Linked DNA regions of Anolis sagrei. The protein of the gene in region 1 purifies or fractionates together with the protein of each later gene. This does not show direct contact. Links are inferred from orthologs where the notes say so. Each region holds a gene or a part of one and is shown on either strand. Other genes may lie near its edges.

The links.
Region 2: the proteins of SLC12A6 (region 1) and STK39 purify together in Homo sapiens (affinity purification with mass spectrometry; 3 studies listed by BioGRID and IntAct, with this or other methods). This does not show direct contact. The link is inferred for Anolis sagrei from reciprocal best matches to the Homo sapiens genes SLC12A6 and STK39.

The regions. Positions count from the first base shown.
Region 1 is NC_090026.1:13,085,522-13,092,592, reverse strand, and holds the start of SLC12A6 (solute carrier family 12 member 6), read left to right. Parts: upstream 1-2,291; 5' UTR 2,292-2,567; intron 2,568-6,529; 5' UTR 6,530-7,071.
Region 2 is NC_090021.1:195,636,759-195,643,829, forward strand, and holds the start of STK39 (STE20/SPS1-related proline-alanine-rich protein kinase), read left to right. Parts: upstream 1-2,751; 5' UTR 2,752-2,935; coding exon 2,936-3,152; intron 3,153-7,071. UniProt on the Homo sapiens protein: Effector serine/threonine-protein kinase component of the WNK-SPAK/OSR1 kinase cascade, which is involved in various processes, such as ion transport, response to hypertonic stress and blood pressure.

The DNA.
Region 1 (7,071 bases):
CCTCTCAAAGAAAGATTCCCCCAGGCACTTCCAATCCATTAAATGCTAATCAAGGTGGTCAGTTGAAACATTCACACCTAGCTCCAGCAGACAAGAGTCCTTTGTCCCACCCTGGTCATTCCACAGATATATATATCAAATCACCTCTCAAAGAAAGATTCCCCCAGGCACTTCCAAGCCATTAAATGCTAATCAAGGTGGTCAGTTGAAACATTCACACCTAGCTCCAGCAGACAAGAGTCCTTTGTCCCACCCTGGTCATTCCACAGATATATATATCAAATCACCTCTCAAAGAAAGATTCCCCCAGGCACTTCCAATCCATTAAATGCTAATCAAGGTGGTCAGTTGAAACATTCACACCTAGCTCCAGCAGACAAGAGTCCTTTGTCCCACCCTGGTCTTTCCACAGATATATAAACCCATTTTCCTACTTCCAACAGAACTCACTACCTCTGAGGATGCTTGCCACAGATGCAGGCGGAACGTCAGGAGAAAATGCCTCTAGAACATGTAGCAAAACCTACAACAACCCAAACATTTTTATTTACTTTTATAGGTTGTAGGCTTGGGCAATCCATGGTTCTAAATGGTTCTAAAGTACTTACAAAACTAAAGTTCTGGTGGTGAAAAATTTCAGAACTCTAACAAAACTTTCAAAATTTAATTATTATTTCATTATTGGTGATTTTAATGACAGAACCAATTAGGAACTGCCATTTATTATGAAATTTTGAGAGTTTTGTTAGAGTTCTGAAATTTTCACCACCAGAACTTTAGTTTTGTAAGTACTTTAGAACCATGGATTGCCCAAGCCTATAGGTTAGATAAAGGCCATCTATTTTTTGTAGGTGCTTTGAATAACTGTTTGTGTTTTCTCATTAACAGGGGACTCCTGCTCTACCCCACAACCTTTGTCTTGTGGGGTTCCTCAGGGTTCAATCCTGTCCCCCATGTTGTTTAACATCTACATGAAGCCGCTGGGCGAGATCATCCGGAGTTTCGGGGTGCGGTGTCATCTGTACGCAGATGATGTCCAACTCTGTCACTCCTTTCCACCTGCTACTAAGGAGGCTGTCGAAGTCCTGAACCGGTGCTTGGCCGCTGTGACGGTCTGGATGGGGGCGAACAAATTGAAATTGAATCCAGACAAGACAGAGGTGCTCCTGGTCAGTCGCAAGGCCGAACAGGGTATAGGGTTACAGCCTGTGTTAGACGGGGTCGCACTCCCCCTGAAGACACAGGTTCGCAGTTTGGGTGTGATCCTGGACTCATCGCTGAGCCTGGAGCCCCAGGTTTCGGCGGTGACCAGGGGAGCATTCGCACAGTTAAGACTCGTGCGCCAACTGCGACCGTACCTTGGGAAGTCTGACTTGGCCACGGTAGTCCACGCTCTGGTTACATCCCGTCTTGATTACTGCAACGCTCTCTACGTGGGGTTGCCTTTGAAGACGGCCCGGAAGCTCCAATTAGTCCAACGGGCGGCAGCCATGGTATTAACAGGGGCTGGGCGCAGGGAGCATACAACTCCTCTGCTGTACCAGCTCCACTGGCTGCCGATCAGCTACCGAGCCCAATTCAAAGTGCTGGTTTTGACCTTTAAAGCCCTAAACGGTTCTGGCCCTACATACCTATCCGAACGTATCTCGGCCTATCAGCCCACCAGGACCCTAAGATCTTCAGGAGAAGCCCTTCTCTCTATCCCACCTGCTTCACAGGTGCGGCTTGTGGGAACGAGAGATAGGGCCTTTTCTGTGGTGGCCCCCCGGCTTTGGAATGCCCTCCCTACTGAACTAAGATCAGCCACCTCGCTAATGGCATTTCGGAAAAAACTAAAAACTTGGATGTTTGTGCAAGTCTTCAATTGATTTTTGATGTGATGTTGTTTGACCATGGACTAGCAATCAAGGATAACGAATTGGACTACGATTTTAACGATGAGATCCGATCTGTATTGGTGGCCCAATACTATGTATGTTTTGTATGTATTCTTAATTTTAATCTATATGCTTAAAGTGAATTGTATATTTTAACATGTTGTAAACCGCAATGAGTCGCCGCATAGGCTGAGATATTGGCGGTATACAAGCGTACCAAATAAAATAAATAAATAAATAAATAAGTCTGTTTATGGCAACACCACTCTTCATTTACAGCATTTCCTTGGCCAGGATTAATACAGTATCCTCAATTGCCCCCTCAGAGAGTAAGAACTACAATTCCCAGCATCCCTAGCGCGTCCGTGGACCCTCTTTTGGCCGCCCCCCTCCCCTTTGTTTTCAAAGGGAAAATGAAGGGAGAAGCATCCAAGCAACAGTAGCGGCTCCTTGCTTGTGCGCATGCGCAAGAGGGAGAAGATGAGGACAAGCGAAAGCCAGGGGAAAGAAGAAAAAAAAAGAGAGAGTTCTGAGCCGCAGCAAGCAACCCGAGAGCAGCGGCTGGCCCGCGCGTGCGCACACGGAGGCGCGAGGGAAGCAAGCAAGCAAGCAAGCAAAGCGTGCGCGCGCGAGGCGCTCCTATTTAGAACGCCTGGGCAGAGGGAAAGCCAAGCTGCGCGCGCGGCTCAGGTAAACCCTTAACGGCTCCAGCCTTAACGGACTTTTCTCTCCCAGGGGCTTGCCTTCAGGGGTGGGCGGGGGCAAAGAAGGGAGCGAACGGAGAGCCCCGCGCATGCGCACTGCGCCCCCTTCCCCCCTTTCTGCATGATACACCTGTACTGTTCCCCTCTCTCTACCTTTGCTTTTCCCTGTCCTCTCCATGGTTCATCTCTTTATGGTTTTGTTTTGGCTTCTGGGGACCATTTCCACCCCCCAGTTCATTTTAAAACTAATAATTCTAACTTTACCTAGTATTTTTTTATTTTGTGTTGTATCCTATGTATTTTAATCTATGCATTATAACTCCTGAGAATGTGCAGAGTGCATGCCTCCTCAGTGATAATTGGGTTTTATATGTATTTTTTGACAGTGTTGTACCCCGCCTCGAGTCATGAAGGGGATAGCAAATTATTATTATTTTCAATAATCTATATAAGTACAAATGTAATGTTTGCTTATGAGATTAACATACCGTATATACTCGAGTATAAGCTGACCCGAATATAAGACGAGGCTTATATTCGGGAAAATGTATTGACTCGAATATAAGCCGAGGGTTGGAAATGCAGCAGCTACCAGTCAATTTCAAAATAAAACTAGATATCAATAAAAATACATTAATTTTAGTTACGAGACGTTAATGTGTTGTTATTGAGATGTCATTAGTTTGTATTTTATACTGTTAATGGTTTTAATATTGTATGTTGTTGGATGGCTTTTGCTCTTGTTGTGAACCGCGTTGAGTCGCCTACGGGCTGAGAAACTGCGGTATACAAGCAAAGTAAGTAAATAAATAAATAAATAATTAGACCGCACCTGGAATATTGTGTCCAATTCTGGGCACCGCAATTCAAGAGAGATATTGACAAGCTGGAATGTGTCCAGAGGAGAGCGACTAAAATGATCAAGGGTCTGGAGAACAAGCCCTATGAGGAGTGGCTTAAGGAGCTGGGCATGTTTATCCTGAAGAAGAGAAGGCTGAGATATGATAGCTATGTATAAATATGTGAGAGGAAGCCACAGGGAGGAGGGAGCAAGCTTGTTTTCTGCTTCCTTGGAGACTAGGACGCGAAACAATGGCTTCAAACTACAGGAGAGGAGATTCCATCTAAACACGAGGAAGAAATTCCTGACTGTAAGAGAACCCTAATAAGAATCTATACTGCAACAGAAACAACATAAGGAAAGGATAAGCTTGTACCTGAAGTAATCTATTAAAGAAAGAAACACATTTTGAAGGAGAATAAGTTTAAAACCTGTTTAGTGAAAGGAAGAGTTCTCTTAAGAGTTGTTTTATGAAATGTATTAATTGTAACCTGTGAAGAAATGTGCTTCTAAGAGCTAAGAAACATTGAAACTATCAAGCTTCTTCTATACTTCAATAAACTTGTTATAGTTTCTTCTAAAGTCAAGTCTCTGTTACAAATACGTCCAAGTTAAGCCACGCTACACATTGAAGAAAGACCAATTTAGTATTACAAGCCATTAGTTGTGTTATCAATTTAGTAAGTCCTTACAAAGTGGTGGCTCCTTTACAAACCGTTACAAACTGGTGGCCTCTTCATGGTTTAATACCCAGCATTTTTAATGTTGTGAAAGAAACTGTATTTGAGAAATATCAGTTTCTGTCATTGTCTTAACTACAATTTTGGAATATTTTAGAGATTTTTTTTTGAATACTCCTGTGTTTTCATACCCTTGGTTATTTTGTTTGTCTCTTTTCTTTGGATGCTCAAATTTTATGCTACTGTAATGCTAGATTCTAGTTCGAAGGAAAATTTGACACTTTGAATCCCATTTGGGAGGAAATTGTAGGTTATATGTGAAATGAGGAAGACAGAAAGGAGACTGAAGGAAAATTTGGTAACTTTGTGCCCCATTTGGGTGGAAAGTAGGATATAAGTCAAATGAATTTAAAAAAAAACCCTTTCATAGATACACCAATTTTGGTGCTCATTCTCACTCTTACATCATCATCTTGCTTGCCAGTGTCTTGTACATGTGCCTCCTTTTATGTGCTTGCTGTTTAAATTTGCTAAAGCAAATCCTTCTTTTTCTTTTAGCTTCCTGATTTCTGTGCATTTTGCTATTTTAAAAAAGACATCCTTACTGACTGACATTTTGGGTGCTTTAAAAGCAATAGTGTAACCCGTTTGGTCATATTTTTGGTGAATTCTTTCATCTTGAACCTATCCAAGTGCCCCATGAGATAACAAATGGGCTCCAAAGTATGGGAACCTTGTTGAACCCTGTGTAGAAATGACTCATGTCTACAGTTTCGTGTTTGTTTGAGACTATATATATATATATATATATATACACACACACGCACACACAGAGTGTATATATATATATAGAGAGAGAGAGAGAGAGCACACATTAGTATTGTCTAGTGGTTTGAGAATTGGACTATGATTCCGGTAAAGGTAAAGGTTTTCCCCTGACATTAAGTCCAGTCATGTCCAACTCTGGGGTGTGGTGCTCATCTCCATTTCTAAGCCGAAGAGCAAGGCGTTGTCTGTAGACACCTCCAAGGTCATGTGGCCGGCATGACTGCATGTATCTAAGGGTATATCTGCACAAGACATGGGCAAACTTTCAAACTTGGGCTTCCACATTCTAGCACTCCCTGCTAGGAGGACTGGCTGCCTGGTGATGGAAGGAAAGAGGAAGGAAAGAGAGAAGGATGGAAGGAGAAAGAGAGAGGGAAGGGAAGTAAGGAGGAAAGAAAGAGAGAAGGATGGAAGAAAGACAAAAGGGAGGGAAGGACGAAAGGGTGGAAAAGAAGGAAGGATGAAAGGGAGGAAGGGAAGGATGGAAGGAGAAAGAGGGAGAGAGGGAAGGAGGGAGGAAAGAGGGAAGGAAGGATGAAACAGTGAAAGGGAAGGAAGGAAAGCAGGAAGAGAGAAAGGAAAAAGAGAAGGAAGGGGTGAAGAGGAGAATGGAAGGAAGGAAGGGAAGGATAAAGGAAAGATAGAAGGAAAGAATGACAAAAAGGAAGGAAGGAAGGAAGGAGAGGAAGGGAGGAAAGAGGGAAGGAAGAAGAACAAAATGGTGGGAGGGAAGGATGGAAGGAAAAAGAGGGAGGGAGGGGAGGGAGGTAAGGAGGAAGGAAAGAGTGAACGAAGGAAAGATGGAAGGAGAAAGAGGGAGAGAGGGAAGGAGGGAGGAAAGAGGGAAGGAAGGATGAAGCGGTGAAAGGGAAGGAAGGAAAGAAGGAAGAGAGAAAGGAAAAAGAGAAGGAAGGGATGAAGAGAAGAATGGAAGGAAGGAAGGGAAGGATAAAGGAGAGATAGAAGTAAAGAATGACAAAAGGGAAGGAAGGAGAAAGAGGAAGGGAGGAAAGAGGGAAGGAAGTAGAACAAAATGATGGAAGGGAAGGATGGAAGAAAAAAAGGGAGGGAAGGGAGGGAGGGAAGGAGGAAGGAAAGAATGAACAAAGGAAAGATGGAAGCAGAGAAGGACGGAGGGGTGGAAGGGAAGGATGGATGGATGGATGGAAGGAGGGATAGGATGGGATGGGATGGTGAGAGAGAGGAGGACCTGAGAAAAGAGCCCAAGGGGCCGCATCCATCCCCTGGGCCTGGGTTTACCCACACGTGATCTGCACTGTACAATGAATGCAGTTTGACATCACGGGCTTAATGCTACGGAATAATGGAAATTATAGTTTGATGAGGTACTATTTGGCAGTGAAAGTTAAAGACCTTGTCTGACTACAACTACCATGATCCTATAGAAGTTAAAGTGGTGTCAGTCTGCATTAATTTTACATTATAGATGCATCCATGGAAAGCTACTGGGTGACCTTAGGCAAGCCATGCTCTCTCAGCTTCAGAGGAAAGCAAAGTCAAACTCTTTCTGAACTATTTGTGCCAAGAAAACCCTTGTGATAGGCAAACAACAACAGTGTTTTTGCTTTGTTTCTCCAGGATCCTAATATTCCCTCATGCGATTATCAGAGGCTGTTGATTTCCCTGCACTAGGCCTCATCCAACGGTTATCTTCTCCTGCCAGGACTTTTGAAACACCACCAAGAAGAGCCTGTGGAGTAATTCTCAATCCGTTGACAGGGACAGCACTATCTTAAGGAATCTGTTTTTACTGTTCTTGCATGGGACACTGTGATACACAGCCTCCGCCTTTTGAGATAAGAAGCCTTTCATTGTTTTCTGCAACAGGATTGTAAGGAGTATTTGCAACGAAAATTCACCCATCTTTTTTGGCATGTCCCTCTGCAAACACAGTGGATTGTGACCTTACTTTCACCAGGTACCCGGTAGCCTTTTTGCGCGCTTTGGGGGAAAAAAAATCTTTGCGCTCAGAAGCAATTACCTCTATGCATTTTGCTGTGCCAAAAATATTTTTGACCTAACAAGCAGGACTTTCCACCAGGGTTTTTGCCTCTTTGGGGTAAACATCAAGGACAGAAATTTAGTATAGATCAATTATAACCGCCTTTTTGCTTGGATCT
Region 2 (7,071 bases), on another chromosome or scaffold:
ATTTGTTACCCTCCTCTCCTCACTGCTCTAAGCGGGCTACAACACAGGCAACACAAATCAACATAAAGTACATACAACTTTTTTTTTTTTACAAAATGATGCCATAACCTTTTGGCAAACATGTATCTCCATATCCATTTGGGAAATGGGATTCTAAAATGGAGTCTTAGTCCTGAACATGTCTAGTTTTGATCACATGGTCCTCAAACTTTTTAAAAAGATGGCCAGGTCACAGTCCCTCAAACTGTTGGAGAGCCGGATTAGAATTTGACAGGCTCGTCTGGCGGGGACAAGAGACAGGGCCTTCTCAGTGGTGACCCCTCGGCTGTGGAACACCCTCCTTAGGGATATTAGATTGACCCTCTCCCTCCCAAAAAAAGTAAACATCTGCCTCTTTGAACAAGCCTTCAGAAATGCAATGCAATAGACCAGGGGTCCTCAAACTTTTTAAACAGAGGGCCGGGTCACAATCCCTCAAACTGTTGAAGGGCCAGATTATAATTTGAAAAAATCATGAATGAATTCCTATGCACACGGCACATATCTTATTTGTAGTGCAAAAAACCACTTAAAAACGATACAGTAATTCAAATGAAGAACAATTTTAACAATATAAACTTATTCGTATTTCAATGGGAAGTGTGGCCCTGCTTTTGGCTGACGAGATAGGATTGTTGCTGTGTGCTTTCAAGTCATTTTAGACTTAGGCTGACCCTGACCGAGGGCTGGGTAAATGACCTTGGAGGGCCGTATCCGTCCCCCGGGCCATAGTTTGAGGACCCCTGCCATAGATAATAAAAAAGGCTTGCAACCCAATAATATTTCCATGATCCACACAAAACCAATCTGATGGGCTGGTATGAAAACCCGCCTGTGGGTTTAATTTTTGCAAGGATTTGACTAAAAAACTAGGAATATCTGTCCTCTAGTGCAATTGTATGGTAGCTATCTACCAGGGATAAGTTTTGATATTTTCCCATCCTTGTGGGAGGGGAGGCTTCTCTCATGTCTCCACATGGGGAGCTGGAGCTGACAGAGGGAGCTCCTCCACGCTCTCCCCGGATTCGAACCTCTGACCCAGGGGTCCCCAAACTACGGCCCGCAGACTGTATGCAGTCCGCCGAGGTCATTTCTCCGGCCCGTGCGCCCTGGCCTGGCCACGCTCACCTGGCGCCGCTCTGTCAATTGCGGACACCCTCTGCTCCGGCCGCTTTGCCTGTGTGGGAGGGAGAATTTATTTATTTATTTATTTCGAGGTTTTATATACCGACCTTCTCACCTTCAAAGAGGGATTCGGACCGGTTCACAACATGTGTTAACATACAAAGAATATACAATAACAACACAATGTCACTTCATAACATGATTAAAATATCAGCACTATACACATTAAAACATTATCAGCCTCCCAGTTGGGTCCTCTGCAAAGCAGAGCGGCTGGAGCAGAGGGTGTCCGCAATTGACGGAGCGGTGCTGGGTGGGCGTGGCCAGGGAACGCTGCCGTGGTGAAGGCAGGTGAACTACAACTCCAAAACTCAAGGTCAACGCCCACTAAACCCAGTATTTTCTGTTGTTCATGGGAGTTCTGTGTACCAAGACTGGTTCAATTCCATCATTGGTGGAGTTCAGAATGCTCTTTGATTGAACTATAAATCCCAGCAAATACAACCCCCAAATGCCACCAGTGTTCACATTTGGACATATTGAGTATCAGTGCCAAGTTTGGTCCAGATCTATCATTGAGTCCACAATGATCTCTGAATGTAGGTGAACCACAACTCCAAAACGAAAGGACACTGCCCACCAAACCCTTCCAGTATTTTCTGTTGGTCATGGGAGAACTGTGTGCCAAGTTTGGTTCAATTCCATCGTTGATGGGGTTCAGAATGCTCTTTGATTGTAGGTGAACTATAAATCCCAGCAACGACAACTCCCAAATGTCAGGATTCTTTTTTCCCCAAACTCCACCAGTGTTCAAATTTGGGCATATTGAGTATTTGTGCCAAGTTTGATCCAGATCCATCATTGTTTGAGTCCACAATGATCTCTGAATGTAGGTGAACTACAACTCCAAAACGAAAGGACACTGCCCACCAAACCCTTCCAGTATTTTCAGTTGGTCATGGGAGAAATGTGTGCCAAGTTTGGTTCAATTCCATCATTGGTGGGGTTCAAAATGCTCTGTGATTGCAGTTTAACTATAAATCCCAGCAACTACAACTCTCAACTGGCAAAATCAATTTTTTGAGTGAAGGACATACATTGGGTTGTTAGGTGTCTTGTGTCCAAATTTGTTGTCAAATCGTCCAGTGGTTTTTGAGTTCTGTTAATCCCACAAACGAACATGACAATTTCATTTATATAGAAGTGTGGGTTTTTGCTTTTCGATTTGGGGGGGGGGGGGGGGTTGCACTGCAAATAAGAGATGTGCAGTGTGCATAGGAATTCATTCACGTTTTTTTCAAATTATAATCCGGGCCTCCAACAGTTTGCGGGACTGTGACCCGGCCCTCTCCTCTGTTCAAAAAGTTTAGGGACCCCTGCTCTGACCTATTGAACCCATTGCGCCACTGAGGGCTGAATGCTATGGGGTGGTACTAGGCGCTGTGGTTGGACAAGGTGTGTGGCCTCGACTAGAGTGCTGGACCCCGAGGATTCCCTCGCCTGGAGCCCTGGCAGGGAGGGAGAGCGGGCCCGTGCTGCATTGGGAGGCTTGAGCGGCTCCTCCTCCTCCTCCTCCTCCTCCTCCTCCGGATGGCGGCCCAGCCTCCGCCCCTTAGCGGATGCGCGGCGGAGGCAGGCAGATGAGGCGGGTTAAAGGTGGTGCCGCCGGCAGGGAAGTTTAAAGGAGGAGGAGGAGGAAGGAGGAAGGACGCTCGCTTTCTCTCTTGCTTGCCGGCACTAGAGGCGCCGTTGCTGCTGCTCCTGCTGCATCATGGCGGAGCCGGGCGACTCGCCTCTCCACGTCCAGCAGCAGCAGCAGCAGGAGGAGGCAGAGCAGGAGCCTCAGCTACAGCCACAGCCTCAGCCAGAGCCCACTGTTGCTGCTCCAGTTGCTGCTGCTGCTGCTGCTCCTCCGGCCAGCCCGGCCCCAGCAGCGGCAATCGTCTGGCCCATCCTGCGGGACGCCTATGAGCTGCAGGAGGTGATCGGTGAGTGGTGCCTCCCGGGCCTGGCTGCCTTTGCGGCGCGCGCCCGGCCTCGTGGCCTTTCTCTCCTTGGCGCAGCTCTGACAGCCCTGGCCTGCCTCTTGGGTGGCTTGCAAAGGCACGCCTTTTCGCCTGTCTGTGCAGCCCCCCCCCCCCCCCCACTCCCGGGAACCAAGGTCCTCCTTGCCTTACGCTGCAAGTTTGGCACTCCTTTGAACTCTTTCGTAGCCCTCCTCCAGCCAGGATGTGGACTCATTCATGGGAGATGTAGTTTGGCCAGGCCTTTCTATACCGTGCCTCATCAAATTTGTACCCCACATTGCTACAGAATCAGGCATCCTCAAACTGCGGCCCTCCAGCTTTTTGGGCCTCCAACTCCCAGAAGCCCTAACAAGCTTGGTGGTTGTAGGTTTTTAAGGTTGTATGGCCATGTTCTAGAAGCATTCTCTCCTGACATTTCGCCTGCATCTATGGCAAGCATTCGCAGAGGGTTGTTGTAGGTTGTCAAGGTTGTATGGCTGTGTTCTAGAAGCATTCTCTCCTGACATTTTGCCTGCATCTATGGCAAGCACCCCCAGAGGGTTGTTGTAGGTTGTCAAGGTTGTATGGCCATGTTCTAGAAGCATTCTCTCCTGACGTTTCGCCTGCATCTATGGAAAGCATCCTCAGAGGTTTGTTGTAGGTTTTTCAGGTTGTATGGCTGTGTCCTAGAAGCATTCTCTCCTGATGTTTCATCTGCATCTGTGGCAAGCATCCTCAGAGGTTTGTTGTAGGTTTTTCGGGTTGTACAGCCATGTTTTAGAAGCATTCTCTCCTGACGTTTCGCCTGCATCTGTGGCAAGCATCCTCAGAGGTTTGTTGTAATTTTTTCAGGTTGTATGACCATGTTCTAGAAGCATTCTCTCCTGACGTTTCGCCTGTATCTGTCGCAAACATCCGCAGAGGTTTGTTGTAGATCTTTTGGGATGTATGGCCATGTTCTAGAGGCATTCTCTCCTGATGTTTCATTTGCATCTGTGGCAAGCATCAGCAGAGGTCCTCACAACCTCTGACAATGCTTGCCACAGATGCAGGCAAAACGCTAGGCGAGAATGCTTCTACAACATGGTCATATAACCCGAAAAACCCACAACAACTCAGTGATTCTGGCCATGAAAGCCTTTGACAATACACCTAACGAGCTTCTTCAGTTGTCAGGAATTCTGGGACTTGAAGGCCCAAACAGCTGGAGGGCTGTAATTTGAGGATGCCTGCTCCAGATGGTGAAGTGGTAAGGTAAAGGTTTTCCCCTGACATTAAGTCCAGTCGTGTCCGACTCTGGGAATTGGTGCTCATCTCCATTTCCAATCTGAAGAGCCAGCGTTGTCCATAGACATCTCCAAGGTCATGTGGGCCGGCATGATTGCATGGCGTGCCGTTAACTGCATTCTTTCTACAGCGGTGTTTCTAAGCCTCCCTTTTTAATACAGAGCCTCATGTGGTGGTGACCCCCAACCATAAAATTATTTTTGTTGCTACTTCATAACTAAATTCTGCTACTGTTATGCATCGTAATGTAAATATCTGTTATACAGGATGCATTTTCATTCACTGGGCATTGACCTTGAGTTTTGGAGTTGTAGTTCACCTCCATCCAGAGAGCACTGTGGACTCAAACAATGATGGATCTGGACCAAACTTGGCACGAATACTCATTATGTCCAAATGTGAATAGTGGTGGAGTTTGGGGAAAGTAGATCTTGACATTTAGGAGTTGTAGTTGCTGGGATGTATAGTTCACCTACAATCAAAGAGCAATCTGAAACCCACCAACGATAGAATTGGGTCAAACTTCCTACACAGAACCCCCATGATCAACAGAAAAAAGCCCTATGGGGAGCGGCTTAAAGAGCTGGGCATGTTTAGCCTGAAGAAGAGAAGACTGAGAGGAGACATGATAGCCATGTATGTGAGGGGATGTCATAGAGAGGAGGGGGCAAGCTTGTTTTCTGCAGCCCTGGAGACTAGGATGCGGAACAATGGCTTCAAACTACAAGAAAGGAGATTCCACCTGAACATTAGGGAGAACTTCCTGATTGTGAGAGCTGTTCAGCAGTAGAACTCTCTGCCCCAGAGTGTGGTGGAGGCTCCTCCTTTGGTGGTTTTTCAGCAGAGGCTGAATTGTCATCTGCCAGGAGTGCTTTGAATGTAATTTTCCTGCTTCTTGGTAGGGGGTTGGACTGGATGGCCCACGAGGACTCTTCAACCTCTATTATTCTATGATTCTATTATCTGTTTTAGCTCGCTTTCATTTTTAATTTTGGCCTTCAGGACACATTTTCCCCAGGTGACAAGCTCAACATTATAGAAGGAATGCAGTCTGACATTACTTTTACTGCCATGACTCAGTGCTACGGAATCATGGGAGTTGTAGTTTTGCAAGCCTTTCTGTGCCCAAGAGTACTGGTACCTCTCCAAACCACATCTCAGTGTGCGCTATAGAAGGAATGTAGTCTGACATTACTTTTGCTGCCATGACTCAATGCTACGGAATCATGGGAGTTGTGGTTTTGCAAGCCTTTCTGTGCCTAAGAGTACTGGTATCTCCCCCAGGAGTCTATACCATTGAGCCAGGGCAGGAAATAGTGATGTCAAACTGTATTTAATTTACAATGTAGTTGCACCCTCATTTTGGGGTCCCAGTATTTTCCCTTTCCTTCAGATCTGCTAATCCCTGCCCTACCCCGTTGATTTACCCTACTTTTGCAATTCTTAACTCTTCTCCAGGTCCTTCCTACTAGTTCCTGTCCTTAGTTTAACATTTCCATCCCCCCCCCCCCCCCGCCATCCGCCTCTTTGCTGGGGCATTAAAGATTGTGCTGTGGGCTTATTATCCAAATGTGAGGAAGTATATTTTGGCTGCTTTGGCCTTCATGGGAGACACTTAAAGCAAGGCTGGTTTGGGAGGAAGTGGTTACATGGATGTTGGTGGTCGGGCATTAGCTGGCTTCTCCCCGGCTTGTCGATAACTCAGCTAAAAACCTGCAGATACAGCAGAAACTCTAGGCGACATTCAGGGGTACCGTTTTGCTCTTTCTGTGGCTGTGAGAGAGAGCTAGGCCCATGCCCGACAGCAGCCATAACTCCGGTCGGATAGCACTGCCTCCGGTGCACCTTGCAGTTGCTTTAATATTGATGGCCACCAACTGCTGAAATGCTGGAAAGGAAGAAGAAGGGAGCCTTGAAAGGCTGTCTGTCTCAGTGCTGCTTTGACCCCCCGGGATGCTTGCCAAGACGTATATATTCCACGATATGGAAATCGTCTTTGGGAAGATGCAGCTGTTCCCGTTCTGAAATTAAGAATGACCTCTCTCTGTGTGTATTGCATTGCTTAGTTCTCTATTTTGGCCATTACTTCCCTTTTCATAAATACTTTGCTTTCCTCTTCCATCCCTATGGCTCCATCCTATACAATCCTCAAGTTTATACTCTATATACTCAGGTATAAGGCTGGAAATTTTAGTCAACAAAAGCCACCCAGGCCCCTTCCACACAGCTGAATAAAACTCCACTTTTCCTGCTTTGAACTGGAATACATGTCAGTGTGGACACAGATAATCTAGTTCAAATTAAATATTGTGGGGTTTTCTGCCTTGATATTCTGGGGGCCCTTCAACACAGTCATATAACCCAGAATAGCAAGGCAGAAAATCCCACAATATCTACTTTGAACTGGGTTATTTGAGTCCACACTACCATATATTCCAGTTCAAAGCAGATAATGTGGGATTTTATTCAACTGTGTGGAAGCCCCCCCCCCCCCCCCCAAAAAAAAACAAACCTGAGTTGATGTATCCACAAGTCACTGTGAGTACTGTAGCTTAACTTGCATCAGAAAAAAAACCATATCTTTTTCTCAGGCCCCTTCCACACAGCTGGATAA